Regions from separate parts of the Mus musculus genome. Here all the other regions are reported to be linked to region 1. Evidence: microRNA targets listed by miRTarBase, many of them from high-throughput screens and not tested one by one. Region 1 holds a microRNA gene; each other region holds the end of a gene's coding sequence.
The links. The annotated mature microRNA mmu-miR-150-5p reads UCUCCCAACCCUUGUACCAGUG and lies in region 1 at 4,034-4,055, opposite strand. An mRNA with a match to its seed (bases 2 to 7 or 8) in the 3' UTR can be bound and repressed. Matches are read on the target gene's strand: a 7mer-m8 pairs with bases 2 to 8, a 7mer-A1 pairs with bases 2 to 7 and ends in A, and an 8mer does both.

Region 1 (6,014 bases):
CGCACCACCTGCATGAGTTTTTATTAAAGTGCAAACCATGGGATGAATCAGTTGAGCTTCAGTGTTGAAAATGAGTAGCAGGGCTGCCCCACCCACCTGACCAAGTACCCTATTCTGCAGCTATGAAAATGAGATCTGCACATGAGCTGGGGTTCACAAGTGCACACTTGGAGCACTGCCTTGCTCCTTCCCAGCAGACCACAAAGCAGTATTTTTCTGGAGGATTTTATGTGCTAATAAATTATTTGACTTAAGTGTGTACGATGTGTGCTGTGCAGAGAGGGGCAGAGGGCACCAGCAGGTCATCTGCATGGGGGGCCCCTTTGGGTGAATCCTTGCTCACGGGATAGGCTTTGTTGCTCAAAAGTTGCAGATATACATCTTGGGTCCTGTCCTAGATGGTGTTACTGTAAGTCAGCACCAAGATACAAGAGCTGGTACCTGGACTGTAGGAGGTCAGGCCATGACACAAAGGCTGGGACTAAAGGCATTTACCACGCCTGAGTCTTCTGGTTCTTTAAACATCAAATCCTTCCGGGGGCTGGCGAGATGGCTCAGTGGTTAAGAGCACAGACTGCTCTTACGAAGGATCCGAGTTCAAATCCCAGCAACCAAATGGTGCCTAACAACTATCCATAATGAAATCTGATGCCCTCTTCTGGAGTATCTGAGAACAGCTACAGTGTACTTACATATAATCTTAAAAATGCTTCCCATGTTAACCACCACTAGAGTTTTTATTACAGCTAGCTGACCTGGAAGCCAAGTCCTTATGCCTCCGTGAGTGCTGGGGTTAAAAAGATCCAGCACCACTCAAAATGTCAATCTATTTTGAAAATATGCTTTATACTGTTCTAGCCCATCTGTGCAGGGCTAGAACGGTGAATACGAGAAACTGACACAAGCTTTTGCCACCTGGCTAAATGGTTCCTCTATTACCTGGGGTGGTCACCTAAGGTTAGACACTCATCCACGAGTAGTCAGGACATAAACCCATCAAAGTGTGGGTAGACGCGCAGCCTGAGATACTGTCAACAAAGGACATGCGACCTTGGTGACGTCGGCCTTTAATAAAAGGAAGAAAGGTTGACTATTCGGTCGACGCTGGCTGCTCCTGACATCGTATGGCAGATACTCTGCTGTAAAGCGGTTCACCCCTTTCTTGAGACCCGCTCTGCACGGCCGCTTCTCTCTGGAAACTGAATCCCAGCACGTGTTTCCCAACCCGTACGGCACGCCTTCTCCGCCCTAAGCCTCGCCGTACCACATGATGCACGTTTCCTCCACATCGTGCTCCTGAAATCTCGCGAGATGATAGGATCTTCCCGCCCCTTAGTCCTCCCCCGTCATGGCGGCGTACGGACAGTCCCAGGAACGCGGGCTCTCGCCGGAAGTACCTCCCACCTCCGTGAGGATAACCCCGCGTCACTTCCGCCCCGACCTCGCGTGGTGAATAAGGAAGCCGGGAGCGGCCCTGCCTCTCCCTTTCTCCGGCGGCCGGGAAGATGGCGGACATTCAGGTTCGAGCGTTTAGTTGCTTTCCCCCGACGCTTCGGTGTGGAGCGTATCCCTTGGCGTCCTCGTTGTCTTACGCATTAGCTGAAGCGAGGATGCCTGCGAATGCCTTCGTCTCAGGCGGCTCGGAAATCCGGGCTCTACGCAGTAATGGGGTCCCTGGCGCTTCGGGAGTTGGTTCTTAAAGCTCAGAGCTTAACGGGTGAGGGATTGTGGCGGGAGGAGGGCATCCTGCGGCGCGGGAGTCCTGCGGCGGCAGAGCCGGGGACACTGGGTAAAGCAGGTTTTTTCCCCTTGATGGAGACTGAGGCCCGGACCTCGTGCGCTCTACGGCAGGGCTGCGGTCCCGACCTCGCTGTAGTTTTCAGTGTGAGCGCAGCTCTGGCCTCGATGAGCTTAGGCTTGTCTTAAACTTGCCATCCTGCCTCAACCTCAACCGGGATGACAGATCCGGCCCACCAGGCTCGGCTACGTGGACATAAGCTTGAATCCCGAATGAGTGGATTTGTATGTTTTGGAGGTCCAGTCTGGCTGAAAAGCTCTTTTTGATCTCAGCCGTGAGTTCTGCAGGCTGTGGAGGTGTTAGATGGGACGCAGTGTGTGAGCTAAACTAGACTTGGGGTGGTTGGAGAGCCCTGACCAGCCGGTTTTGGCGATTGGGGCAAATAAGGTTGAAGGTAGGAAGGAAGAAATATTGTCTCTGATTTCCTTGAACTTTACCTGCAACCTCACCAAATTCTCATCCCTACAGACGGAGCGTGCTTACCAAAAGCAGCCTACGATCTTTCAAAACAAGAAGCGGGTTCTGCTGGGAGAAACCGGCAAGGAAAAACTCCCTCGGTACTACAAGAATATCGGTCTAGGCTTCAAGACGCCTAAAGAGGTACAGGACCCTCCAGCAGATGAGATCCCTGCTGCCCTGCACGTGTGGGAGCACAGCCACCCCGCCCCCTTCACAGTGGCTTCCCATGGGCCCCTGGGAATTGTAGTATGGGCCCTGAGGCGTCATCCTTGGTTCTGTTTAGGAAGTGGTAATCTAAACCCCACTTTCTTAACTTTGCAGGCTATTGAGGGTACCTACATAGACAAGAAATGCCCCTTCACTGGTAACGTCTCCATCCGAGGTCGGATCCTGTCTGGTGAGTGGGATGTTGGAAGGGTGGTTCTAGGTTCCTGCGTCCAGGGGCGCTGGCAAGTGATGTCTGTTCTCACGATGGTCTTCAGATGTCCTCTAGGGCACTGCTGAGACAGCCAGTTGACAAAGCTGATGCCATAAATGGAGCTTCTTGGGAGCCCCGTTCAACTGACTCCTACCTGCTAACACCTTTCTGTTACTCTCCCAGGTGTCGTGACGAAGATGAAGATGCAGAGGACCATTGTCATCCGCCGGGACTATCTCCATTACATCCGAAAGTACAATCGCTTTGAGAAGCGTCACAAGAACATGTCTGTGCACCTGTCCCCCTGTTTCAGGTGACTCTGGTAGCTTGGGATAATGACTCTAGACAAGACAGTCACTGGCTAGGCTGGAGGTGTCCCATGGGCAGAGCAGTGTGGGGTCCAGGAGTGTGTAGACTGCTGTGTGAACGTCTGGGAACTAGAAGTTGTAGTTTGTTAGTCTTAGCAACTGCGTAGATGGTGACTGGTTGGGTGGAGCAAGGGTGGCCCCCACCCCTTTGGCCTGTCTGGATGAAGGAATTGCTGGGGAGGCCCCTCCTGAAGACTCCTTGTCTGACCCCACAGGGATGTACAGATCGGAGACATTGTCACAGTTGGAGAGTGCAGGCCCCTGAGCAAGACTGTGCGATTCAATGTGCTCAAGGTCACCAAGGCTGCTGGCACCAAGAAGCAGTTTCAGAAGTTCTAAGGGGACTCTGGCCAATGCCCTAGAACAAATAAAGTTATTTTCCAACGTACAGAACAGGCTTGGAGTCTCATGTGTCCTGGGACAGAGCAAAGATTGCCAGGGCTTTCCTGAGCTGGAGGTATCTGCTGCATTTATGAGCCTCTAAATCTTGGTAACCAAGTAGAACACCCAGGGTCAGCTACCTGGTGCAGGCAGCCCCTGCTCTGCCTGCCTCTCAGGAGGAAGTAAGGGTGGAGCCTCTGACCTTAGTTTAGGTCTGAGCTCTTCAGTGTCCCTGGGAACCACCTGGGTCTCTGGTCTTCCCATACTCACCTTGCAGGTGAAGACACCTAGGAAGGGGCAAGTTCTCCAACTTGAGTATCATGATCTGCTTGAACCCCTGTAGCCACTGCCTCCCCTCTGGCTTATGTCCAGGGACAGGGCCAACAAGGACAGGAACCCTTCAGCAGTGAGATGAGAAGAAGGCCCCAGGTTGTCCAGGATGGATGTTGGAGTGATGGGAACACCCACTTAGGAAGGGACCCAAGGCATCCCCTGTATGTAGGCCAAACCTGGGGAAAAGTCCCTTGGCTGGAGGGAGAAGCTGGAGTTGTTGCTGCTGGGGTTCCCAAGTCCCTATCCCCCAGGCCTGTACCAGGGTCTGAGGCACAGCACTGGTACAAGGGTTGGGAGACAGGGCATTGAGAAGAGTCCTCTGCCTGCAAGAGATGCTGCGGAAAGCACTGCTTCACCACGGCCTTCTGCATTTAACCAGGCTGCTGAGGGAGGGGGTTCCTGTCAAAGGAAGTGGGCCTGCATCAAAGCGAGCAGGAAGGGGCAGGGACAGGTCAGGAGGGGCACCGCCCAAGCTGGGTGCCTGCCAGCCACCCAGGAGTAGAGCCACTAAGCAGAGGAGGGGCGAGCCCCAGAGCTACAGGGGACAGGGACCCTGAGGAATCTAAAGCCAATTGTTGAGAGGTGTGGCCCCCTCCAGCCGCAGGTGCTTCCGTTCCGGGTGGGGCTGTGTTTACAACAGCCCAGCTCCCCTGTTTCCTCTCAGGGGTGCTTGGGGCTTCACCTTTCAAAGTTGCAGAGTCTGTGAGGGAGGGGACACCTGAGAGAAGAGAGACCCCTGACGACCCCTCAGCAGTTTAGTCATCTGCAGAGTGGAGGTTGTCTTCTTAGGCCTTTGCACAAATGAAGAACACTGCCTGAGAGCCTAGCACTTCCCCTACTGCACTCTGGTTTGTCAAACCCCAGTGCCAGCCACGCCTGGCACCTCTCCCGGTGGAAATGTCTTCCAGGCATCATGGTTTTATATGACTTTTACAGAGTCTTGCTGTGTGTCCCTAGATGGTCTGGAGCTCTGTGTAGACCAGGTTAGCCTCAGATTGACCACACTCTCCTCACCTCTTGGCTCCTGGGTGCTGAGATTCCAGGTGACACACAGCCCATTTGGGCCTTTAGTCTCAGGCACCAGTTTTCACTTAGTAACTAATATCCAGTTCCAATCACATGTAGACGTTGGTGATAATCCAGCTGCCAGGGGGGCTGAGCTGAGGCAGGAGGATTGTCAGAAGTCAGAGACTAGTTTGGGCAACACAGACCTTGTCTTAGACTAAAGACCTAGGGATGTGGCTCAAAGGTGTAGTGCCTTCCTAGAATCAGACAGCGAGGGGCTGGGGTTGTAGCTCCATGGTGGAGGGCTTTTCTAACAAGTACAAGGTCCTGCGACCATCCGCAGCACCTCAGGGACACAAAGGGCATGCAGTTGCAATCCAGCACTTGACAGGTAGACACTTGAGGATCAGCAGTTTAAGGGCACAAGAGACCTGTTTCAAACGAAGCCTGGTATGGTGATACCCATCTTTGGGGTTTTTGGTTGTTTGTTTTGCAAGACAGGGTTTCTCTGTGTAACACCCCTGACTGTCCTGGACTTGCTTTTTAGACCAGGCTAGTCTCAAAACTGTGCCCACTAAATGCTGGGTTTAAAGGTGTGTGTCACCACACCCAGCAGTGGTACACGTCTTTGATCCCAGAACTCAAGAGGCAGGCAGATCTCAGAGTTTGAAGTCAGGCTGTCTGCATAGTGATAACCTCTTCCAAAAATGAAAATACTAATGTGAGTGAGTGTGTGTGTGCCTGCCACAGACCCCCATGTAGAGGTCAAAGGATTCAGTTCTCTCCATCATGTGGGTTCCACAAGTCAAACAGACCATGATGCTTTGTCTTAAATACCTCTACCTACTGAACCAGCTCACTAGCCCACACTTCCTCCTTGAGTCTCCTGTCAAACTTACATCCTGCCTGTTGGCTGCAAAGGCTGTATATATCTGCACAGCCAGTCCCTGGAAGTGGGAACTGTGAGGAGGTGCCCCAGGATCCAGGTGTTCTGAGACAGGCTCAGCACTGACCAGCCTCACTGCTCACTCAGCCATAGACCTTGAGTCTCCTCATCTGTAAATGGTGGCCACGCTAGCAGCTAGCTGTGCAGGTAGGTCACTCTATGGCCCCAGGAGAATGACCTTTGGCAGGTAGCTGCAGAGGTTATGTATGGTTATGGGACCTGTGTCTTCTAGAGCAAGCTTGATGAAGTCATTTAAGTATGCTTCTAGAAGATTCTGTAGCGAATCATGCCTGGTGAGAAGACCAG
Region 2 (6,014 bases), not on the chromosome of region 1:
TTGGGGGTTTTAGGGTTGCCCAGTATCATTGAATAACAAGGGGCATGATAAGATATAATAGGACCACCATGGAAAACTCTTCTATGAATCTAACCTCATATTACCTTTGTCTTTCAGTGATTCTGGCAAGAACACACTGGTTACCGAAGCAGTACAAGCCCCTCAGTTAGCTGCTGAAGCAGTAAATGTCATAAAAGTGAGTGGCATGATCTGTTTGAAAGGTGCTTGCTTCAAACTGGGTGGGGTGGTGGCGAATGCCTTTAATCCCAGTACTTCCAAGACAGAAGTAAAGCAGCCTGGTCTACAGGAGTGAGTTCCAGGACAGATGGAGAAACACTGTCTCAAAAACAAACAACAAAGGAAAGAAAGAAGTGTGCTTAAAGAGATACACCAGTGTTTAAGGTAGTCTAGCCACAAGTCCTAGCAAGTAAGGCAGGCTTATCCATGCAGTGCTCTACACACACTATCTCCTACTTGAGGATGTTTGTTTGGTTCAGTAGCATTTGTGTTGTGTCTGTGGTAGGGGGAGTATGGACTTAAGAATCAATTACCTTGGTTCCTACCTCCACTGTGACACAGTGTGGAGTGGAATAACCTTGTGTGGAATGTGTCACACATATTTTGACTCTACCCTGGGTTAAATAGGTAGCATAAGTGTATTGAAAGCAGAGGCCTCAATGAAATTCAGGAGGAACAGAATTGTCAGAAACCAAAAAAATATTTCTAGTCCATGCTAACTCACTGTTTAAAGGACAAGAGTGAAGCATGTGGTAGTAACCAAGGCTGGGGGCCACTGTCATTAGAGCCCCAAATGGTATGTTTGCTGTCTTGAGTGACTAGTAATGAGCTATATGGGTGGAACTTGCAAGTTGTCAAAGAGCACCTTAAGTCTTGGAGTTGGCTCACTGAGACAATTTCTCAGGGTCTTTTATACGCAACGCTGCTTTGGCACATTCATCATGCCCCATGGCTTACTATATTTTTTATTTAGTGAGATACTGTCTTCAAATCTTTAGAAAATCAGACACTATTCAAGTTTATAGACACAAAACCATTGAATATACGTGGAATCTTTCTTGGTAACTTCCTACATTTCTAACTTCATGTGAATTTTTTTTACACAGAGGAAGCGGGATAGTGAGAGTGAAAGTGATGAGACCCCAACAGTTCCCCAGTTGAAGGAAAAGAAGAAGAAGAAGGATAAGAAGCCCAAAACTGTGCTAGAAAGTGGGGGCGAAACTGGAGATGGGGTATGTGTGAACCATGGGTGTGCCTTTGTGTCAGCTGAGTCTTTGACAGGAATTGTGCGAGAGTGGGGTTCCTACCATTGCCTTTTTTGGTGCTGCCCTGTGTTCTAGATTTGCCTTGTCTACCTTCTTGGACACAGAAGTAGGGGCACCCAGCCTTTCAGAACAGTGGATCATGGTTGAATTATGTTGCTGCTGGGTAGGGAAGGTGTATTAAGTAGATCTCTCTAAGACTTCACCGAGAAGGTCACAGGCAAAATTTGTTTAACCCCAAATGTCTTAGATTTTTGAACAGACTTGACTGTGCAATTTGTCAGATTTCTTTTGGGAACAGTAGTCATAAATGTTTTGTCAGTGGGTACATTGAACTTACTTTTACTTTCTCTTTCTTTAGGACAACGACACCACCAAAAAGAAAAAGAAGAAGAAAGTAAAAGTGGTAGAAGAGATGTCTGAATAGTTTAAGCCACTTCTGGAAGCATTATGTCCAGCTGGGAAGAAAAAGAAAAGCCTTATTGGAAAAACTTTTTGTTGAGGGAGAACAGAGGTCCCAGAGTAGAAAGTTCTGGTATACTTTTAGCTGCCACTTGTGACCTCAGTGGTTAGCTGGTGTGGCCATCTCATCCCATCCTGTCCTGTTTTAAGGATATGAGAGATAAAATCAGGCCTTTGCCACCAACCCCTCTGCTTGCTTGAGGAAGCCACACCTTTAGACATGGCATGGCCTAGTAACTATCTGCAGCTATTTACTAATGAGCATTTTCAACAATGCCATAGATAGTCCTCTCCTACTTTGCTTTTTAAAAAGTTGGTAAAAATTAAATCTGCTACATAAAATGGTATAGAACCTTCTGTGAGAGAAAAAATGTAATTGAACTATGTTCACTGGGGGACTCTTATCTCCAGTGTTCTATGAGGACTGCTCTATTCAGGTATTAACCTTGCCTGGTGGTATCTATGATATTTAGGCTAGTACTCTGTATTTTTGTGTACAACAGGATTTCTCTATATGGCTACTTGTGTTTCTTATGGAAGCCAAAGCATTCCTGTACCTTCCTATTTGTTTTCTTTTAAAGAATGGAATTGCCGGGCGTGGTGGCGCATGCCTTTAATCCCAGCACTTGGGAGGCAGAGGCAGGTGGATTTCTGAGTTCAAAGCCAGCCTGGTCTACAGAGTGAGTTCCAGGACAGTCCAGGCTATACAGAGAAACCCTGTCTCGAAAAAAAAAAAACCAAAAAAACAAAAAACAAAACAAAAAAACCAAAAAACAAAAAAAACAAAAAAAAAAACAAAAAAACAAAAAAAGAAAAAAAAAAGAATGGAATTGTTCAGAATGGAATTGTTCATTGCTGAAGAATGTAATTTGTAGTTTTTTTTTTTTTAAAAAGTATTCCTGTTAGATTTACTATGATAATCTTGGACTGGCAACAAAAGTGAGAGAATATTTTTATTAAAAGTCTGAGGTTTATGTCCTATTTTGAATTTGCTTTTCCTTTGGCTACTTTTAAATTTCCTAATTCTGAGTCTTTCTTACATTGGCACTGGGGCCTATCTGCTCTCAAGGGAGATCATTACTAATCCAGGGTTAAGAGGAAAGGGGTAGATGCATTTATATTGTACTGGGCTTGTGAAGAGGTTGGAGGTACTCCAGGTAGGAAACTGCCAGTTTTGGTGTTGACTGCAGAGGGAGCAGGGAACTTTGCTTAAATATGTGCCCAAAACCAAGAATATAAACACAAGTTTTAGGGGAAATTGTTAATAGCATAGGCAGGTATAGAATGCCCAAACAGCCCCTGCTTTTGTAACATGTTTTAAACCATTCTCTTACGACTTAACAAGTCCTAGAGAAGACGCCTTTGTGCATTGTGAATACCAGACCTATAGAGGCAGTGACAGGTAATTCCCAGAGATCTTATGTTAATGTCATTGCTTGGAAGGTTAAGATTGGGAATGGAGTTACAGGGTCACGGGTACTTTAACACAGCAGCATTTTTATTGCTTTGGAAGATTTTCCCTACAGCAGACATTCTATTGCACAGCTGTTTGATTTTGGCATTTTAGAAAGTTTTCAGAAGATATTTATTCCAGAGTAAAAAGACATTCTATAGTTGAAAGCAAAGGAGCTCAGGCTTCAGGGGGACAGTTGGTTTATCTATGTAGCATTGCATTTGGTTATTCTTATGGCAATTTTCCAGAGATCATTTTGAAATGTAGATAGTAGGAAAGCTTCACCCCTTTAGGAGCCTGAGTAAGAAAACAGCAGAGCTAAAAGTTGAAGCAACCCTTTTGGCTTAAGCAAGGGAGGGGGTGCGGGGAGGTGGCATTCCAAATGCTGGCTGAAACATGTTTGCCAATTCTGTAAGCTTAGTAAACCCAGGAGACAGGCACCCACTGTGGAGAACTGCAAGCCTGGTCAAAGGCTTCTTGCAATTTCTTAAGAGTTTCATCAACACTATTATTCACCAAAGAGAGGTCAAAGTAATGAGCATACTGACTACGGATGGCCTCAGAGTCCTTCTGCAGCTGCTGCAGGGCTTCAGTCTGCAAAGAAGAAAGCCATAGATGAAGCAGCAGTCTTTAATCACAGCAGCAAAGGGAAGATTTAAACAAGTTTACATTAACTGGTTCCCCATCTGTTTTTTTGCATGGTGGTGATCCATCCTGTGGCCTAGTATCTGCTAGGTAACCAATTAAGAATATAATGTTTGCCAAAGGGGTTGAGAACCACTTAACTATTCTAATGAATGCCAAACTAACCCTAATTACCTAGCACAGCCTTCACTAGCATTCACTTAGTTTTAGCCCTTTGTTTATGGAAAAGCCATTTTAGCAACTACTACAGCTATAATCCAAGGATAAGGGAGAAAGTTTATTGACAAGTCTCAAGCCTCTGGCTCCAATGGTCAGTTAACTACATAAAGGCAAAAGGATAGAGAAATATGTGTCATAGTGGTGGTGGGGATATTTGTAACTTTCATTACAGGGAAGTACCATAATATAGAATTCTTAGATGAAGTCACTAACTCAATGGAAACATGAGCTAAGGATATGGCCAGATATACAAGCAATACAAATAACTTTTAATAAGTGTGTGTGGCAGTCTTATTGACTCGACTGCCTTTGAACTCCAGACTGGCCTTGAGCTCCTGATCCTCTTCCTTTCACCTCCCAATTGCAGTGATTGACTCTCAATAGTAAGAAACAATCTTTTATAGTAAAACAAAGTGAAAATGCCATTCTTCTAAAATGTTAACCAATTCTTTTAAAAATGTTATGAATGATGTTAAAGAGGAAACAGCCACTTTTACAAGCAGGCTCCTTTCCCACTGTAGCCACACTGCACCCTGTGATGGATCTAGTACCACCTCCATCCTTCACAGCTCCTTCTGTTTGCTTCACATCAGTATATATCATATAAGAAATAGGATTTATTTAACTGTCCGTCTCAGCCATTAGAACTGTTCATTCAGGACTATGACTAGAATTGAATTATTTAATAACTAATCTCTTGAATAACTCTGGAATGAATAAAATATGCATGCCCTTTGTCTTCTTGGCCTTGGAAAAAACAGTTGACAATGACCTAAAAGGTGTGGACCTCCACCCATGTGACCCCTTTCCCACCTGAGTGCCCTGGTCAGTAGGTGCGATGAACACAATGAAAGGTGAAAGCTCAGCTGTCCGAACAGTCTTTAGGGTCTAGGAAAAGGGAAGAAAAGGAGAAACAAACAACCCAGTTGTCTGTCAGAATGTATTCCTTCTAATAAGTGTTAAATCCCAATACCAATTTGTATCATGCTGACCCCACTAAAACTTTAGGAAGCAAGATTTCCAGGAGCTCACGTCCCTCATTACATGGCTGAAACCATTGTTCCTGCCCTTTTATGCCTACATACCTGGGGCTCAATGTCAAGGATGGCAATCTTGTCCTGCTTATGAATCTGGTGCACTGTTTCAAATTTGGTGCCAAACATGTTGCCCTGATAGCTGCCAAACTCCAAGAACTCATTGGCAGAGATGTTCTTCGTCATCTCCTCTGTTGAGATGAAATGATACTCCTTCCCATCTTCCTCACTCTTCTTTGGTGGCCGTGTTGTATCTGTGTATAAGAACTCAAATCCTTGATGAGCTCTTCTTGGTCCTTGCTATCTTTTAGTGTACTGACTCAAAATGTCTATATGGAAACTCTACCCATCTTTGGGGCAGATAATATAATAGAGATGTTTTTCTCATGAACTGAAGGATTGGTACTGGAAGGTAGTACAGATACAATACCCCCACCTACCCATCTCTCCAGCACTGTTTTGTTTTTATGACATGGAAAGAACACAATGGTTTTGTTTAAACATTTTGTTAAAAAGTTAAAATGTTGGGGCTGGCAATTTTTCAGCATTTGCCACAGAAGGCTCATAACCTGAGAACCTGAAACCATGTGGTGGAAGGAAAGGACTGACTCCTATAAATTGTATTCTGACTTCCATACACATGCTATAAAATGAGTGCACACACACACATGCTGTGGCATGAGTACACACACTGCATAATAATACTGTATAATAATACTGAGTAATAAATAATTCTTTAAAAAAGTTAAAATGTTAAGAGTAACACTCTAGTGCAGAGATAAATTATATATTCCCAGCCTCTTTTTATCCTATGATGAACCATCTTTACCTTCCACGCCAGACACTTGTCTCTAAAATGACTTCTTTCCCTCAACTTGCACATTGAAAACCCTGGCAAGGGTGTGTGTGTGTGTGTGTGTG
Region 3 (6,014 bases), not on the chromosome of region 1:
ATCGCCGCTATTTGATAATGCTATCATTTCAAGTCTCGTGCTTTGCCCAGCACAGTTGTTCTGCCCTCCCCTCCCATCCCATCCCCCACCACCCGTGGGCCCCTGGGACCCCACTTCACCCCTTTCCTCACTGCTTGGCTGCTTGGCAGGTATAACTGCAACCCAGGGAGGGCTCCTGAACCTGAACAAGATGGTCACACACATGACGGGGAAGAAAGCCTTCTTCAGCTACTGGCCCTACGGCTGTCACTGTGGACTTGGTGGCAAAGGGCAACCCAAAGATGCCACAGACTGGTAAATCCCCTCCCTGGCCTACTTGGGACTCTCCTTCCTTCTATACTCACTGATTCAGTTAGCAAATGCATTTTGCTGAGCACATACTACATGCTAGGGCACTAAGTGCTAATCTGGTCCCAAGCCTCTTGGAACGGGCCTTCTAGAAGGTTCCACAGAATACCAAGCTCTAACAGCTCTAACATACCCCCTGTTACCATTACACATGTTTTCCAAAGCCCAAACTCTTTGCCTGTTCTCATCTGGGTTTTCACAACCATTTTGAGAGCCAGCCAGAGAAGTCACACGACCTTGGCCAAGTGTCTCAACCCCCAGAATTTTGTTTCCTCCTCTGTGGAAAGGGGGTGACCCCAGCACCCCATCATGGGGTAGTCACGGGGATTAAAAGATTAGGTGGCTGGAACAACCATGGGAACCTTTGACCAACAGCAGCTCTCATGACCTCAGGGAACCCCAATGTTTTTGATCACCCCTGGTGGGCATTTGGAGAGTGCGAGGGGAGATAGAGACCTTGTTGACTAGTGGCTCCCACAGCTGTGCTCCCTGCCTGCCTCTCCCTGTAGGTGCTGTCAGAAGCATGATTGTTGCTATGCCCACCTGAAGATCGATGGATGCAAGAGCCTGACAGACAACTACAAATACAGCATCTCCCAGGGCACTATCCAGTGCTGTGAGTGCCCAGGGTTGTGGGTCAAGGGCTGGACCTGGGAAGTCCTGTCCTCCTCTGCCTCCATAGACCCAGTGTGCTACTACATAAAGCACTTGACACCTGATGCTGTTCCTTCTCGGTGGGGTGGGCAGTGAGGAGCAGCGGAGGTGAAGGTATGGAGAGGACCAAGGGGACGTCAGCCGTGCGCTCAGCACTGTTTAACCTCCCTGAAATGCCATGACCTCCTCTGTAATCTGTCCGACCAAGCCAACAGGAAGAACTTCAGGAGGTGTTGGCCACACCCATTCTCATGAGGGACCCATAGGCACCCCTAACATGGTCTTGTTTCCTTTTACCACGATCAGGCCCTGTAACACCTCACCTTAAGGTTAATGGAACTGCGCACGCGCGGAAGCTAACACAGATGCTCTCCTTGTGGAGACGCTAGCAACCCCAGCTTTCAGGAGGAGCGGTGGTCTGAGCTGGGGATGGCTCCTTGACATGCCTAATCCTCCTACAGGCTTAGATTCCCCACATTTCTGCTTGGCCATGTTCATTCACTCTGTGGCCCTCTGCCTCCTGCCTTCCCACCTGCTCACCTGGTTCAGCTTTCTCCCTCTAGCATAAGCCCCGGAACGGTGCTCAACGGTTGTTCAGTGTGCAGACGCGAGATTAGGTAACAGAGTATCCAATCAAAGAGGCTATCTCCAAAGATGACCAAGCACCACGTTGGTTTCAGGACCCCTTCTGCACCCCACAGGCAGTCTCGGGAAGGGACACATGCTGAGCCGTTCCTGTTTTTTTTGCCCACAGCTGACAACGGGAGCTGGTGTGAAAGGCAACTGTGTGCTTGTGACAAGGAGGTGGCCTTGTGCTTGAAGCAAAACCTGGATAGCTACAATAAGCGCCTGCGTTACTACTGGCGGCCCCGTTGCAAAGGCAAGACTCCAGCATGCTAAGGGAGTCCACTCTGTCTGTCCCCTGGATTCCACCCTGTCCTGGGACATCTCAAGCATTGAAGTCCTGCAGCTTGCTGCCTCCCACTCTGGTGTCTAGTCTCCTGGACCAGCTGGCTTTTCAAGGTCTCCTTGCAAAAGGGCCTGGCCTTGAGGACTTCCTCTTGGTGCCTTTCTACTGTAAAGGACCCTTTTGATCTTTCTAACGGTGACACTCCTCTCCCTTCAAACTCTGGTCTTTCTGGACCAAGGTCAGAGCTCAGCCCTCTGATGCTGTGTTCTCCCCCAACTAAGCTATGAGACCTCTAGGTTCAGCCCTGCCCCATTTCAGATTCAGTGGTACCCTCTGGTGGTACCTTGATTCAGGAGTCCCCTAGAACCAAGCCCATTATGGGCTCCAACAACAACGGGATTTAAGGGTGGGGGAAGTTGCAGTCTTGTTGCACTCGGTGGGTCCTGGAGCTTGGCCTGCTGTTTCTTGCCCGTTGTGCTTTCGCTGGGATCTCTTGCTGCATAATAGCTCAGGCTCCGGGGCCGTCCTTTGGAAGCCTCTCTTGGCTAGCCATTCTCCCCAGCGCTAAGGACATCATTGGGCTGGACTGTCTGGGTGGCATCACAGCCCACATTTCTCCTGAGACCAGGATGATAGATGTTCCAGTACTTTGTCTCATCCCAGGCCTGGTTTCTTTCTCTGGAAACTTTCTCCAAAGAGCCCTCTTAATAAACAACTTTCACAAGAGCCCCTGACTCAGGCTCCACCTCTGGGGAAACACGTTTTAGCAACATTTATAAATTCCATGACCTCTCTCCCTCCCAGAACCACCGGCCTAATTACAAACCTCAGAACTTTCCTTAGCTGCTGCAGCTAAGGAAAGTGTGTTCATTAGTGGCAGATTCAGGAGCCAGAATTCTTGGAAGATCAGCTTCCCATATGAACATGGAAGGGGGACTAGGGTTTGAGGGATAGCTTTGCTGAGTATCCTTTCTGGCTCAAACTGACCCAGCCTACCTTCATCCCTGCAGCTATTGGCATTGAAGGGACTCTAGCTAGCCTAGACCTGGCAAGCATGGCTCTGGCAGGCCTTCCCCTTTTCCCCAATTCTCTCTGCCTTGCTAAAACAAAACAAAACAAAACAAAACAAAACAAAACAAAACAAAACAACAACAAAACATTAGATTGCATTCCTAAAGCTAGCCCCCAAAGTCTCTTCCCTTATTTGGCCAGTTTCTCCTCCTTAGGCTGACTACCAAGGTCCCCTATCAAAGTATTGAAGTCCAGCAATCAAAGGCCCTCTTTGAGGCCGGGCAGTGGTGGTGAATGCCTTTAATCCCAGCATTTGGGAGGCAGAGGCAGGAGGATTTCTGAGTTCAAGGCCAGCCTGGTCTACAGAGTGAGTTCCAGGACAGCCAGGGCTACAACAGAGAAATCCTGTCTCGAAAATCAAAAAAAAAAAAAAAAAAAAAAGGCCCTCTTTGGTTCACCCAATACGCCCAATCAAAACATACCAAGGCACCCAGCCCATTCTAACACAGACCTCCCCTTTTCCCGATTCTTATAAATTACACCTGCAAGGTCATTTGCTGCTGTTTTTCTGTCTGAGTCAGAAAATAGCCACTTTAACTTTTCTTCACCGCTTAATAAAAGGTCTCTCTGTGAAAACCGGTCTTTGGATGTGATTTGTGACTAATTCAGGGTCTGGGAGGGAGCCCCACTATGAGAGGGTCTCCTTCAGGGGTCACCAAGGTCCCCATGGTTGGCCGAGCTGAAGTAGCATCTGAAACAGAACATAGGTTGGCAAAAGGTATCCCATCCAGCAGGTCCGGCAGTTATTTGCCTGGCAACAACTGTTTCAAAGAACATCTGTTATTCTTGTGTGAATAGCTGTGTTTCCAACCTCAGGGCTGAGGGAACCAGAACCGCCCACACCCTCCAGCTTGTGACTCAGCATAACAAGACAGAGAAGTTTTCTTAAAACCCCAGTGAGGCAGAGTACAAAGAAGTCCCCGCTATGGGCTCTGGGTTCAAATCCCCACAGTTGAAATGCTCATTTTAGTGGGGGTGGGGGGTGCGAGAGCAGGAAACTGTGCTGGAGACGGAGCTTATAATGAACTTAAAACCGTCACTTTATTTATTTTTAAAGTCTGCTGAGAAAGACGTCCAGGCTAGGCATGATGGTGTCTAAGTCTGAGACAAGAAAATGACTAAAAGAAAGGAAAGAGAAAAAAGAGAAAAAGAAAGCAAGGGGAGGCTGGAAATTGGGGGTATGGTGGGGGTAGGGTGAGGAGAGCTTGGCTCCCGGCTTGCCTCTTTGGTGGCTTGAAGATGTCTTCAGAGCCTGGTTTCTCTCCTGCCCCTGGCTGGGCTACGCTCACTCACTTTGCCAGTTTTCCTCCTGGGCAGGCTCTCCGTGGCTCCAATAGCAGCCATGGTTCTCCAGACCTCTAGACACTGAAGTGGCCTGGCCTCTTCCACCACAAAGCCAACTTCCCCTAGGGACGAGCCCCCCTGAGCCTGAGCTAGCTTAAGAGAGGAGGGATACCCTGGTTGGTTTAGACTTCCATGAATTTAGTTGTCCCTGAGAAGATGTGCAGATTCCGCTCGTGGTCCACACTTGGATGGTCTGCGGACATCAGCTTTGAAAGCCCGTGCCTTGTCTAGAGCAGTTACAAAGTAGCAGCTCCCTCTATTGAGCAAATGCTCTGGCCAGATGGCAGAATCTTACTGCGCACACACACAGAAACCACCTTGTTCAGCAAGAGACGCAAGGCACAAAATGATAAATACTTATCTCATGCCTGGGAGAGAGTCTTGCAGAGGAACTACAAGGTAAATCAGAAAGGGGTAAGACATCAGCCATATTAATCTGGAGATGTAACTCGGACAACAGAGTGCTTACCTAGCATGTATGAAACCCTGGGTTCAACCCTCACCAACAAATAAAATGAGGTATTGCAGCGCACAACCGTAATCCCAGCACTCTGGAGGTAGAGGCAGGAGGATTAGAAGTTCAAAGTTGCCGGTTGTTGTTGGTGGTGGTGATGGTGGTTCACACCTCTAATCCCAGTACTTAGGAGACAGAGGCAGGTGGATCTCTCTAATATTGAGGCCAATCAGATCTAAAGAGTGAGTTCCAGGACAGCCAGGGCTACACAGGAAAAACCTTGTCTTGAAAAACCAGAAGGAGGAGGAGGAGGAGGAGGAGGAGGAGGAGGAGGAGGAGGAGGAGGAGGAGGAGGAGGAGGAGTTGTTCAAGTTCATCCTTGATGTACTGGCTGGTTTTGTGTCAACTTGGCACAAGCTGAAGTTATCACAGAGAAAGGAGCCTCCCTTGAGGAAATGTCTCATGAGATCCAGCTGTAAGGCATTTCTCAGTTAGTGATGAAGGGGACAGGACCCATTGTGGGTGGTGCCATCCCCGGGCTGGTAGTCTTGGATTCTATAAGAAAGCAAGCTGAGCAAGCCAGGGGAAGCAAGCCAGTAAGAAACACCCCTCTGTGGCCTCTGCATCGGCTCCTGCTTTCTGACCTGCTTGAGTTCCAGTCCTGACTTCCTTTGATGATGAACAGCAGTATGGAAGTGTAAGCTGAATAAATCCTTTTCTCCCCAACTTGCTTCTTGGTCATGATGTTTGTGCAGGAATAGGAACCCTGACTAAGACACTTAACCACTTACTGATTGAAGCTAACTTGGGCTACAAACTCAAAGAGGAAAAAAACCAAACCAAACAGAAAATTACCATGAACTTATAGAACACACCAGACCTGGAAAGTAAGGGACTACAACCTTCTCCACTGGACCTCACAGAAGGAAGGCCACCTAATACTATAGCCATCTTGGTGGGTAGCTTAAGAAAACTTGAATTGTGGCCAGATCCTTGTCTTGCCTCGCTGGCCTCCAATGCCCCCTCCCATCAGCTTCTGAGTATCTTAGCGGGCCACCTCAATGCCTCTGTCTCTGTACTGGCTCTCACCCAGCTCTCAACCTCTACCTTCAGTGAGGTCTTTGAGCTCCATGGCTTCTTTGAATTCTTTCCCAGACACTCTGAACCCTGTTTGAAGTGTGGAGTGTGACCCAAGAGCTCCTATCAGTACTTGAGATTGGAATAACAGGACCC
Region 4 (6,014 bases), not on the chromosome of region 1:
GCTCTGTTTGTGTCAGGGAGGGAGGGGTCTGGTTCTGTGAGGACTAGGGGTGGCACAGTGTCAACCTTGTGTTCTGGCCTCCTGACTAGTGTTCCCCACAGCATGCTGCTGGTTCTGCACCATAGCTGGGGTCTGGTTCTCTGGTTGGTTAAGAGCCCAGGACCCTTGAGTTTGATGTAGCGAGTGCTGATTGAGCACAGACTGTTCCAAGAAGGCAGAGGCGAACAGCCAAGTCCCTTCATTAGGAAACTTCTGCAAAGGTATGAGGTTTGCTGTCAGGAAGGTAGCCTTGGGCATTTCCCTGTCACTCTGGGAGCTTGCTTTGCCTTATATGCAGCCTATCTCTATATACCTTTTGATTTCTTCACAGGATGAGTACATGAAGAAGAAATTTCAGGATCTCCTGGTGCAGGAAAAGAACTCGGTGACCCTCCCTGTGGCTCCCGCCCAGGTATTCTGATGACTTCACTGTGGTCTAGGATTAAGTTGCCGATGAGCAAGTCTGATGACTGAACTTTCCGTGGGGAGGCAGGTGCTCAGCTTTTAAGAAAAGGATTAATGGCAGGCTTAGTGACACATACATATACTCTTAGAAGGCTGAGATAGGGCATTGACTCTCAACAGAGGCAGGAGGAATGGGACCCACAGGCCAGCTTGCTTGCATAATATCATGTAGTAATATCGTCTCTACTTGCTGGCCGTACTTGGGATTGAACCTGCGGCCTAATGCTGCTTAGGTAAGCCCTCCAGCCCGAGCCAGTGTTTCTGCGTTTTGTTTTGATATGCTCCTGCAGCCCTGGAAGACTTAATAACGCAGGATATGTTGAATGAATTGGAACATTAGATAGGGCTTGCCAATCTAACGGAAGACGGAAGATCCTGTTAGAGGCACGAATTTAAGTTTTCAGAAAGTGTAAGACTTGGGTAAGTAGTCTATGATGGTTTCTGTTTTAAACTTTCTGTTGTTAGAAAGTAAAAGTTTTGCTTTACCATGGTTTTATTGAGGCAATTTCTTGTTTGGTTTGGTTTGGTTTGGTTTGGTTTGCTTTTTTTTTTTTCCGAGACAGGGTTTCTCTGTGTAGCCCTGGCTGTCCTGGAACTCACTCTGTAGACCAGGCTGGCCTCGATCCCAGAAATCCGCCTGCCTCTGCCTCCCAAGTGCTGGGAGAGGAAGTTTCTTGATTGCAGTTTTATCATTTTCAAGTTCTTTGTAAGTTATACCTGATCAGTGGTATATTTGGTCAGTGATCTCGATCCTTTTTCCTTACTGTTCTTTCTTGAATTTATGAATAGGAAAAGTCTAAGTAGCTATAAGTAGACAGTGTCAGGAGACAGCAACCAAGCAAAGCTGTTGGTGCTGCCTGCTGTCCACATTCGGATATACTTCAGCCTACGGTGGGATCATATTCTGAGGAACTCATCTCAAATGGAGGCATTTTAAATAGAAAGTGCATTTAACGATAATAGCTGGTGTGGCACAGTAGCGTGTGTGAGCTCCCTGGTAACCCTGTGGGAGCCGGGAGCTCTGGCTGCTTTACAATCATACCTCACCCAGAATTTTGCTAGGAAAGATCCAATTTGAACTTGCTTTTGTGTCACTTGAAAGGTTTTTTTTTTTTTTTTAAGTGGCTGTACATTTATTAGTGGTTAGAAATCGCCAGGGAGCATGGATAAGCATCTTGATTCCAGAGGTGTGTGAGGAGGATTCGGTTGTCATGACAACTAGTCATTTCCATGAAATGCCCCTAGTTTACTGAACTATGAGGAGCTTTGATAGAAGCTGTGCTTTCTCTTAAACACTTCTCCTTTTGCTTTATTTCCAGACTTCCAGTCAAAAGCGGCCCCTGGAACTGGAGGTGGAGGGTATGCCGAGCACAAAACGCCTGTCTGTGTGTGGGGCTGTGTTGTGAGCTTTGAATGTGAAAGAAATGTGCTTCCTTCCACGCTCCAATTGTCTTCTCCATCTTGACATCTTTTTTTTATATGTATATATTTTTTAAAAAATATAGCCAGGCAGTTGTGGCCCACTCCTTTAATCCCAGCACTTGGGAGGCAGAGGCAGGCAGATTTCTGAGTTCAAGGCCAGCCTGGTCTACAGAGTGAGTTCCAGGATAGCCAGGACTACACAGAGAAACCCTGTCTTGGAAAAAAAAACAAACAAGAAACAAAACAAAATAGCCTATATGATGGAACAATTGCTTTTCCATCACAGATACACGATTAAAAAACGTGGAAATCTGGGCTGATTGTTTGATGACCTGCACTTTAGATTTCTTTCTTTCTTTCTTTCATTTTAAGAAAAATGTTAGGGGGTGGTGTTGAGAGATTAACACCACTCCTGTTGAGGGCTGCAGTTCAGTTCCCAGCACCCATGTAACTACATTTCTGGATCGGATGCCCTCACCTGGCCTCTCTGGTCACCTACTACACATGTGTTCATGTACACAGAAACACATAATCATTAAAAAGAATATTCTAAAACAATGTTAGTAGTTTGTTGTGGCTTTTCATCTGGATCCTCACATTGCCAGTCTGCCCTATCAGGATGTCACTCTGGTTTTAGGCTCATCCGTCTAAATACAAATTCTAAAAGTCCCTTAGAAGGTCCAAGTCCCACTGGCCATGGTAATCTACACCTATGATCCCAGCACTCTAGAGGCAGGACAATGTTTGAGTTGACTTTGAGGCCTGTCTGATCTTTAGAGCAAATTTTAGGACAGCCAGGGTACACAGAGAAACAATCTCTTTCTCTAAACTTTCTCTTTTATCTTTAAACTCTTTTTTTCTCTGTCTAAACTTTTTCTCTGTCTAAACTCTTTCTCTCTCTCGTTTCTCTATCTCCCAACTTTCTTTTTCTCTCTCTAAACTCTCTAAACTTTCTATTTCTAAACTCTTTTTTTCTATCTCTAAACTTTTTCTCTGTCTAAACACACTCTCTCCCTCTCTCTCCCTCTCTCTTAACTTTTCTTTCTCTTTCTCTAAACTTTTTCTCTTTTCATCTCTAAACTTTTTTCTCTCTCTAAACTTTCTATCTCCAAACTCTCTTTTTCTCTCTAAACTCTTTTTCTCTCTCTAAACATACTCTCTCCCTCTCCTTTTCCCTCTCCCTCTCCCTCTCCCTCTCTCTCTCTCTCTCTCTCTCTCACACACACACACACACACACACACACACACACACACACACACACACACACACTCAGTCCCTTGGAAAGAAAAGGGCATCTGGATGTTGGGTGATTTGTACTGGCTGGCTGCCAAGGAGCCCATGGTGCTGCTGCCTGTTATAGGCCAGTCTGAAATTCATATCCCTTAGGGTTCTCACACTCCTGTAATCCATCCCAGACCTTGAGAAGCAGAAATAGTAAGATATTGACTTTGAGGGCAGCCTGAACTGTATAGTGAGACTTTTGCCTTAAAAAATGGATAAAACACAGAAATTATGCTCAGTCCTGTACAGTTTACATCTCTAAACTCCTGGGGCTACATTAAATTCAGATATTAATATCTCCCCCACCCCCACCCCACCAACAGTTTTAGGCAGGTGATAGAGTGCTGCTTTAAATTGGGTCCTCCAGCCATCCATGTGGTAGACATATAGAGAAGTAAGGGGGGAGATAGAGATGTCTCTCTAGTGGTTAAGAGCATTGGTTGTCATGCTGTCACTGCGGGTCATGTCTGGGTCTGTGGTCATGTAGTAGCAGGGGCCTGTTGATTTCTTGGATCATATTACTACATAGACCATGCAGACCTCCCTGGTCTGGGCTGCTGTGTGGGAGAGACCTCATAGATATCCAAGGGCTGATATCCAGATATCCAGAGCTGGCCCCACCCCTGACTGGCTGCAGCAATCAGGAGAGCAGGCCTTCCACCTTGCAGGAGCAGCACAGAGCTGGCCCCACTGCCATGATGGGACATGGGTGCAGTGGAGATGCCCTCCCCCATCCCTCAACACCTGAGGCAGGTCCTAGGTCATGAGAACAGGCAGGACTTGGGAGAGTGGCCTTGCACCTTGTCTGGGCAACAGCCAGCTCTGAGGGAGTGAGTGGGAGAGCTGGCCCAGCCCCTCACTGCCAGCTGCAGTATTGGGTGAGCTAGCAAGGGCAGTGCTAGAAAGCTTGCCCTGGTGGTGCAGATATGAGAGAGCTGGTGGGCTAGCCATCTGTCTCAGCTACCACCCAGATCCAGCGCTTTGAGTTGTCCCACCCCAAAATCTAATTCATCTATGAGCTGCTGGAGCATGTGCAAGGGCTGGTCCTACAGATCCAAAGCTGCAGGATTTCCATGATCCAGGCCAACAACAGGATAACTAAGAGGAGTCCTGTGAGGATCCAGTATTGATAGTGTTGCAGAAGCAAGAAGACTCAAACCAGACCAGTGACTAAATGCAATGAACATTTGCAAGATGTGTGGACAAGAGGGTAGGTATACTGTAGAACACACCCTGGCACACTATAGTGTCCGTGTCAAAATGCTCTCCATGGGGTGTGTTTGTGGGGAAGTTGCAAGGGAAGAGGGGGATGTGAAGGGACGGGGAGATGAGTGAGATTGGGGTGCAGGTGCATAATGTGAGACTCACAAAAATAAATAAATAAATAAAAAGTTGAAAAGCATTGGCTGCTCCTCCAAGAGCACCTGAGTTCAATTCCCAACATCCTTATGGTACCTCAAAACTGTAGCTAAGCAGCATGGTGGCGGCCCACGCCTTCAATCCTTGCACTTGGAGGCAGCTGCAGGTGGATCTGAGTTTGAGGCTAAGCCTGGTCTACAGAGTGAGTTCCAGGACAGCCAGGACTGAGAAACTCTGTCTCCATAAACCAAACATTAAACCAAAACCAAAAGCAAACTCCATCTTGAGTTGAACTCATCTTAATTTTGAGACCTTTTAAATAAAAAAAATGCATTTAGTAATATTCCAATAATGCACACAGAGCTCCCCTGGAAACTCCATCCATGATCACAGTGCTGTCTGCTATGACAGAGGAGGCGGCTGCTGTTGCAATCAAGGCCATGGCAAAATAACTGGCTTCCAGGGTGGTGGTGGTGGTGGCAGCAGCAGTGATCCATGAGCCTACAGAGGCCCCTCCCCCAGTCAGGTTCTGCTCTGGCTGGGACCTTGGCTGGACTCCTGTTCAATTTATTTGATGTTTTATTATGGTTTTCCTCACCCCTTCAAACTGTCGGGGAGACCCTGCCCTTGTCCTAGCTACCTTGTCCAGGAATGAGGGAGCCATGGCCTTGGTGAAGCTACCTGCTTCTCTCGCAGCCCTGATGGGGGCAAAGGGATTTGGGTACTGATGTGTTAGAATAGCAGCTAGTGTCTGACATTGCTTACCAGGCCAAAGCAGTTCCATGTGTAAGAGGTTTTACTGGGGACAGAGAGGGGAGAGAGAGAAAGACAAAGGGGAAAAGAAAAAAAGCGAAAGGGGGTACCCAGGTGAGTGTGGGAAGCAGGGCTCTGGGAAGGTATGTGGTAGCTATAGCAACAGGTGACACCTATGTGTGACATCCTGAGTTTGGAGTGGGTCTGCAAAACTGGTCTTTGGATGCCAACAGGCACTGCTTGTGGTTTAGGTTCCCCTATCCTTTTTTTCTTTTTAATTCAATTTGGAATCAGAAAAAATATATATATTTAGTAGTTCCAATAATGCACACAGAGTGTATGATATATGGGTTCCCCTGGTAACCCCATGGTCGGCTGGGAGTTCTAGGGCCTCAATACCCTCTGGCTTCTGTGGGCACTGTGCATGCAGGTGGTGCATAGACAGACATCAAAAAACACCATTCACATAAAATTAGAAGAAGGAGGAGGAGAAGGGGAGAGAAGAAGTTTTTTAAGACTTATTTTATGTAGGTGAGTATTGCCTACCTGTATGTACAGGGAAGAAAGAGGGTACTGGTGCCTCTGGAACCGGAGTACAAATAGATAATTGTGAATCATCTGGGATCTGAACCCAAGTTCTCAGCAAAAGCAACAGGTGCTCTTAAGCTCTGTGTCTTCTGGCCTCTTTACATCA
Region 5 (6,014 bases), not on the chromosome of region 1:
TGACGGCCCAGCAGGACTGGTCTCAGAAGGCGTCCATCCCGGAGAGCTGCACAGAAAAAAAAAAAAAAAAGTGATGCTTTTTGAGGCGTGCTCAGTAAGCACCGTGGCCTTGCCAACCTCAGTTACTCTACAGGGCCATCAAGGAAGGCCAGGAGAATGAATGCCTCACCTGGGCGGAATACAAACATTTTGTTATGAAAGACTAAAGAAAAACTACCCAAGATCAGAATAAATCATTATGGCTACATATACATTTTGACATTCTTATGGAAGGCTAGAATAAAAGTCAAACAGGCTGGAGATATAGCTCAGACAGTCTGAGGCTCTGTGTTATACCCTGGATGGGTGCTACACACGCCCCCACATGAAGCAAGGGGAAGTCGAATATTGTAGCTGGGGAAGACTGTGTTTGTCGGCCATACCTGGAATGACTTCATTTTAATGTGAAAGAAGCAAGCTGAAGAATTTGTGATATGACTTCAGGGCCGGGCTTGAGAGTTAAACTCAGCAGTTAAGAGCGCTAAAGGTTCTTCCAGAGGTCCTAAGTTCAATTCCCAGCAACCACATGGTGGCTCACAACCCTCTGTAATGGGGGATGGGATGTCCTCTTCTGGTGTGTCTGAAGACAGTGGCAGTGTCCTCATGCATGAAATAGATATTTCTAAAGAAGGAGGAGGAGGAAAGAAATAATAATAATAATACAGGGCATATACAGGGCTAACAGGATTGTTCAGCAGGTAAAGGTGCTTGCTCTCAAGTCTGATAACTGAGTTTTATTCTCAGGATATGGGGGCTTAGGTGGTGGTGGTAGGTGACCAACTTCTACAGGTTGGCCTCTTGCCTCCATTTTTGCATGGGATGTGCCTGGACCCCAGCCCCTGTGGCTGGTTAAATGTAATTAAAAAGAAAATAAGAAACTGGGCACGGTGGTGCACATCTTTAGTCCCAGCACTCCAGAGGCAGAGGCCAGCCTGGTCTATATAGTTAGTTCTAAGCCAGCCAGAGTTGCACAGAAAAACCCTGTCTCTAAAAACAAACAAACAAACAAAAAAGGGCTAGAGAGCTGGCTCAGTGGCTAAGTGTTAGGAGTGCTTGTTGCTCAGGTTTAAGTCATAGTGAAAGAACCTAGTGGAGAAACCCCCCACTCAATTCCGAGTTGGTGTGCACCCAAGGAATCACGAGAGACTGTCTTGATGCAAACACATGAGGTAGTTTAATGACGGAGCTCCGGGCCGACATGTATCTCACACAGGAGATTGCGGTTGTCGACCACTAGGCTTGAAAGCTAGGGGTTTTTATAGAAAAGGGTCTGGGGCTGGGGGAGGAATTGGCGCGGTTTCACACGATTGGTTCATTTAAACATCAGCAGAGTGTATGTGCAGATGGAGGTAACAGCAGAGCATCTGGTTAACATTTAACCCATGTCAGAAGGGTGGGAGATAGGGAGGCGCCAGGCCAGTCTGGACATGTCTTTGCATTCTCTTTATCTTTATGGCCAAGCAGCCTCAGGAATGTCTTAATGATGGGCCTGCCCAGGCATGTCCTGGCCTGTTCTGCTATGTTCTCAGTCCCAGGCTTCAAAGCTCACAAACAACTCTTTGGGCTATTACATGAATCACAGGACTCAAGTTTTATTTTCTTTCAATAGCACCACATGGCAATCCACAACTCTCTGTGACTCCAGTTCCAGGATAGTCAATGTCCTCTTCTGACCTCCAAGGGCATCAGGAGTGCACACATAAATACACACAGGCAAGATACTCATACTTATAACATTTTATAATCATAACAAGGCCCAGGTACATGTGAGGTCCACATGCATGCACGTGGGCACTGCAGGCTGTGTAAGTATGGGTATTTACACACGCTGTTTACAAAGCACTGTTCACTCCGGGAGGGTTGGATGGTTGCTCTCTCTCCTCCATCTCCACCCCAGCCCATCAGGTAGAGAAGAATCCATAAAGACAGACCTGTCTTTCAGTGCGCCTTGGGGTGTGGTTCCAGAGAAACTTGGTTTTGTTAAAAGCACCAGTTAAAGAGCTCACATAATTTCCTTCCTAGATGATGTTTCTAACACGATTTTCCTCTCATATGATTATTGATCTGATAGAAGGAAGATATTTGGCAGATGTTTTGTCTCAGATGGCCTGGCAATGCTGGGCTAACAAGGAGGAAGTAGCCTGGGAGCATCCTGGCTCTGGGAGCACCATCAGCCTCTGGAAGCTATGGGAGTGTACATGGACCCACCCTCACACACAGTCTTCCCCGTCCCTTTCAAGCCTGCTGTCTGAGGACCACCTGTGGGAGACTAAAGAGTCTGAGCAGGCCCTGTAGTGGGCTTAGGGGGTCCCCAGTGACTCAGGGAAAAGCTTCTCCTGGCCATGCCCCTTAACAGTGGTGACAGGGACTGCACCACTGTGCACAACTTTACTCTGAGAAGATGCACAGTACGCCCCAGAGATTTTAAAGATGGCTCAAGTGTGTGAGCGGCCAATCCACAGAGTCCATGAAACTCTCATCAAGATCACAGGCCCCAGCTGGAGAGATGGCTCAGCGGTTAAGAGCACTGACTGCTCTTCTGAAGGTCGAGTTCAAATCCCAGAAACCACGCAGTGGCTCACAACCATCTGTAATGAGATCTGACGCCCTCTTCTGGTTTATCTGAAGACAGCTACAGTGTACTTACATATAATTAATAAATCTTTGGGCTGGAGCGAGCAGGGCCGGAACGAGCAGAAATCCTAAGTTCAATTCCCAGCAATCACACGATGGCTCACAACCATCTACAGTGTACTCATATACATAAAATAAGTAAATCTTTTTTTTATTAGGTATTTAGCTCATTTACATTTCCAATGCTATACCAAAAGTCCCCCATACCCAAGTAAATCTTTTTTAAAAATTAAAAAACATCACAGGCCCTTCAGGGAAGTGAGGGACGAAATGAAATCTGGAATAAACACAAAGTGAGGAAGCCCCAAGTGAGGATGCTGTGCCTCCTGGAACAGGGCAGATAGTGCCCCCTCAGGCTTGGAGTCATCATAACAATGTGGCTGGACTCAGAGACAGCTGCTGACCAACCCACAGATTTAGGGCAGCTGAGCAACAGGCTGGGAATGTGGCAGAGCCTTGCCAAGCCTGACAAGATCCTGGATTCCATGCCCAGAGCTGCAAGGTCAAACCAAACCAAAAACAAAAACAAAAAAAAAAAACAAAAAAACCCCCCAAAAAACCAAAAAAACCAAAAACCCCACCAAATTAAACCAGAAATACCAAGCAGAGAAAAAGGGAAATAGAAAAATGAAGGGCACAGAAGCAGTCATTCCTTAAGGATGCTCAAAGGCGAGGAACCAGTTAGATGGCCGAGAAGAAGGGAACAGGCTGGCATAGGTGTATATGCGGGTACACCCAGCAGAGGGGTCAGGAAACCCTATCTAGGTTCAAGGTCCCTGGCTACCTGCTGGGAAGACTCTCGTGATCCAGATTTGCACAGACATTTGCATGTTGCTTTGAACTAGACTTCAGGTCACCAGAATTCCATGTTCCAGGCCTTGAGCAGAACTACCATGCCTCTAACAGCCAATAGGGGAGCCCCAGTGGCAGGACTACGGTGGCCTGCAGGATGTCAGTGGGATGGCAAGGCTGACAACCAGAGTTCCATCTCTGGGGACAAAATAATAAACGAGAGAGACATCTCCCCCCAGCTGACCACCCCACCCCCCGCAGTGGGAAATGTGTACCCACACATGACACACACCAAATAAAATCCTTTTTTTTTTTGGTTTTTCGAGACAGGGTTTCTCTGTGTAGCCCTGGCTGTCCTGGAACTCACTTTGTAGACCAGGCTGGCCTCGAACTCAGAAATCCGCCTGCCTCTGCCTCCCAAGTGCTGGGACTAAAGGCGTGTGCCACCACTGCCCTGCTCCAAATAAAATAAAGGTCATCTAAAACAATTACAAACAGCAACACAGATGGGGGACACTCCTGACTCTCTGGCCCCAGGAGACAAGGTCTGTGGGCTGTCCCGTGGTGTCTGCAGCCAACAGCTTAAGAAAGGCGAGGGCACAAGGTGTCCTTTTGGGCTTGCTGGTCTGCAGGCGCCTCCTCCTAGGAGAACAGGCTTCAGTGTTCTGGCACGTTCCTCCCACTTCAGGGAGACAAGGCAATCTGCCCAGACTCTACAGCTAGAAACCCAAAGAAGCACAAGAGCGTCCATGTTTCTTCTCTTAGAACGCCTGATTCTGCTTACAACAGAGTCCGCATAGATTTCTAATCAGAGTAAGGGCTGACAGGCACTTCCTTGGTACTTGGTCCACTCACAGAGTGAAGCTGTAGTGTGGGCTGAGGCCCTCCAGGGCAACAGGACCAGCAGAGATCCACTGTGGAGGTAAAAAGGCCAGCTTAGGAAGTTTGGGAAGGTCATGAAACACTTGCCCCTCCAGAAGGAAGAGGCTAATTAACATTTCTCAGACCTTAGGGCAGAACTGCCCTGTGGGTGGGGACACATCCTGCAGGACACCTTCAGACAAGGGACGTCCTTGTCACTTCATTCCCTAAAGACCAATCAGTTTAAAGGGTGCACTGCTCCGCCAATCACGTTGTGCCTAGTTGCTGATGCTCTCTTCTGCCCCTGGAAACCATATAAAAACTCCCTGAATGGGTGCTGGGGGTCGCCGCCTCTCCTTCGGGTCTGGGAAGACCCCAGTGCACTGGAACAAAAATTCCTCTTGCTTTTTGCATCTATTCCGGCTCCACGTGGTCCACTCAGGGGCTCCCTGGTAAGCAGAGGCTCCCTGGAGTCTTGCAGAGGGACGGGACTCTGTCCAACAAGTTCTCTGTCTCAAAGCTCTGTGGCATCAGTAGAGGCCCCTGCTCAGGGGTTGGAGCCTAGCTCCCGTGTAGCGGCTCAGCTCCTCCAGCACCAGCTTCTCCTGGTTGTACATCTGGAACACAGCAGAGCACAAGCTCTGGAGGGACTCTGGGGACCCTTGTCCCGAGTCCGAGTCCTCCCAGGGTTCACCTCCTTCTGAAGCCCCCCTAGCCGCTCCCCCAGGCTCTGCACAAGTCTATCAGCAGCACCTGAACAGAGACTCAGAGAGCTGTAGGTAGATGCAAGATCAAAGGACAGGACAGCAGGGAGTGGGCTCCCAAAGGAAGGGGGAGAAGCTGGGGTACACATGGGGCCCAGGGAAGTGTGGGGCAGGGAGGGAGTGGGCATAGACAGGGCTGGGTGGTAGCAGAAGCAGACTGCGATCTACTTTTAATTTGAAAAAAAAAGTTCATTCATGGGTGCTGGAGAGATGGCTCAGCAGTGGAGAGCACTCACTGCTCTCACAGATCGCCTGGGTTCGGTTCCCAGCACCCGTATCAGGAAGCTCACAACCAGCTGTAGTTCCAGTTTCAGGGGATCTACTCCTTCCTCTGCCTCTGCAGATAACCAGCACACACATTACCTACAAACGTAACCCAAGCCTATTGGACAACGTAGTGGGCTTTAAGTGTGGTACCCATTGGCCGTTAGAAGAAAAAAACCATGACTTAGCATTATTTGTTGCCAACTGATGGGTAAGGGTTTTTTTTATTATTTTTTATTTTTTGTATGTTTTTCTGAACATTAAGTGTCCCTTGACCCCCATCGATAATAGCTAGCATTCAGGGAATTTAACTTTCACCTGCCTGTCCAGGGTGCCTTTCAGGAGTGAAGTATCATGAGGAGCCAGAGCCTTCAATACAAGACCTCACCTTTCCAGGCAGGATGGATGGAGGCTGTAGTTCGGCCTCTTGCCATGGGGTTTCGAGGTGGGGGAGGGGAATGCTGGGCAGCAGCCTAAGGGTTAAGGGTGTATCTGGGGTAGCCCCTTGCACAGGTACCCCTCCTACCTTTTGCCACTCGGCTTTGGAGCTGTGGGTGAAGCCCAGCAGGTGACAGAGTCCATGGGTGGCTGTGACCTGTTGGAGTAATTGAGAAGTCAGCTCAGGGGATGATCTACCAGACGGCCGCCCCTTCGGGCTCA

Region 2: the mRNA of Dkc1 is a reported target of mmu-miR-150-5p. Seed matches in the 3' UTR shown: 7mer-m8 at 2,369-2,375.
Region 3: miRTarBase lists Pla2g2d as a target of mmu-miR-150-5p. Seed matches in the 3' UTR shown: 7mer-m8 at 3,237-3,243.
Region 4: miRTarBase lists Chek2 as a target of mmu-miR-150-5p. Seed matches in the 3' UTR shown: 7mer-m8 at 2,046-2,052.
Region 5: the mRNA of Ybey is a reported target of mmu-miR-150-5p. Seed matches in the 3' UTR shown: 7mer-m8 at 3,880-3,886.

The regions. Positions count from the first base shown.
Region 1 is chr7:45,119,803-45,125,816 of GRCm38, reverse strand. It overlaps Mir150 (microRNA 150), which reads right to left and starts at 4,060; the gene lies at 3,996-4,060. It overlaps Rps11 (ribosomal protein S11), which reads left to right and starts at 1,428. Exons shown (of 5, transcript NM_013725.4): 1 at 1,428-1,520; 2 at 2,267-2,398; 3 at 2,579-2,654; 4 at 2,859-2,988; 5 at 3,259-3,429. The coding sequence starts at 1,506. The coding sequence ends at 3,382. It overlaps Snord35b (small nucleolar RNA, C/D box 35B), which reads left to right and starts at 2,706; the gene lies at 2,706-2,792. Rpl13a (ribosomal protein L13A) reads left to right here. Exons shown (of 8, transcript NM_009438.5): 8 at 1-254.
Region 2 is chrX:75,107,055-75,113,068 of GRCm38, forward strand. Dkc1 (dyskeratosis congenita 1, dyskerin) reads left to right here. Exons shown (of 15, transcript NM_001030307.2): 13 at 118-196; 14 at 1,125-1,250; 15 at 1,642-2,722. The coding sequence ends at 1,707. It overlaps Mpp1 (membrane protein, palmitoylated), which reads right to left. Exons shown (of 12, transcript NM_008621.3): 10 at 5,145-5,347; 11 at 4,873-4,947; 12 at 2,679-3,789. The coding sequence ends at 3,613. Among named protein-coding and RNA genes, the nearest start is that of Gm25520, 8.7 kb to the left of the region's middle.
Region 3 is chr4:138,778,492-138,784,505 of GRCm38, forward strand. Pla2g2d (phospholipase A2, group IID) reads left to right here. Exons shown (of 4, transcript NM_011109.3): 2 at 150-294; 3 at 858-964; 4 at 1,757-3,561. The coding sequence ends at 1,902. It overlaps Gm32871 (a long non-coding RNA gene), which reads right to left and starts at 1,873. Exons shown (of 3, transcript XR_390866.3): 1 at 1,543-1,873.
Region 4 is chr5:110,871,657-110,877,670 of GRCm38, forward strand. It overlaps Chek2 (checkpoint kinase 2), which reads left to right. Exons shown (of 15, transcript NM_016681.4): 14 at 371-451; 15 at 1,824-2,484. The coding sequence ends at 1,910. Among named protein-coding and RNA genes, the nearest start is that of Ttc28, 5.1 kb to the right of the region's middle.
Region 5 is chr10:76,458,377-76,464,390 of GRCm38, forward strand. It overlaps Ybey (ybeY metallopeptidase), which reads right to left. Exons shown (of 5, transcript NM_172550.4): 4 at 5,881-5,949; 5 at 1,191-4,943. The coding sequence ends at 4,857. 2610028H24Rik (RIKEN cDNA 2610028H24 gene) reads left to right here. Exons shown (of 8, transcript NM_029816.2): 8 at 2,111-2,842. Among named protein-coding and RNA genes, the nearest start is that of Mcm3ap, 7.5 kb to the right of the region's middle.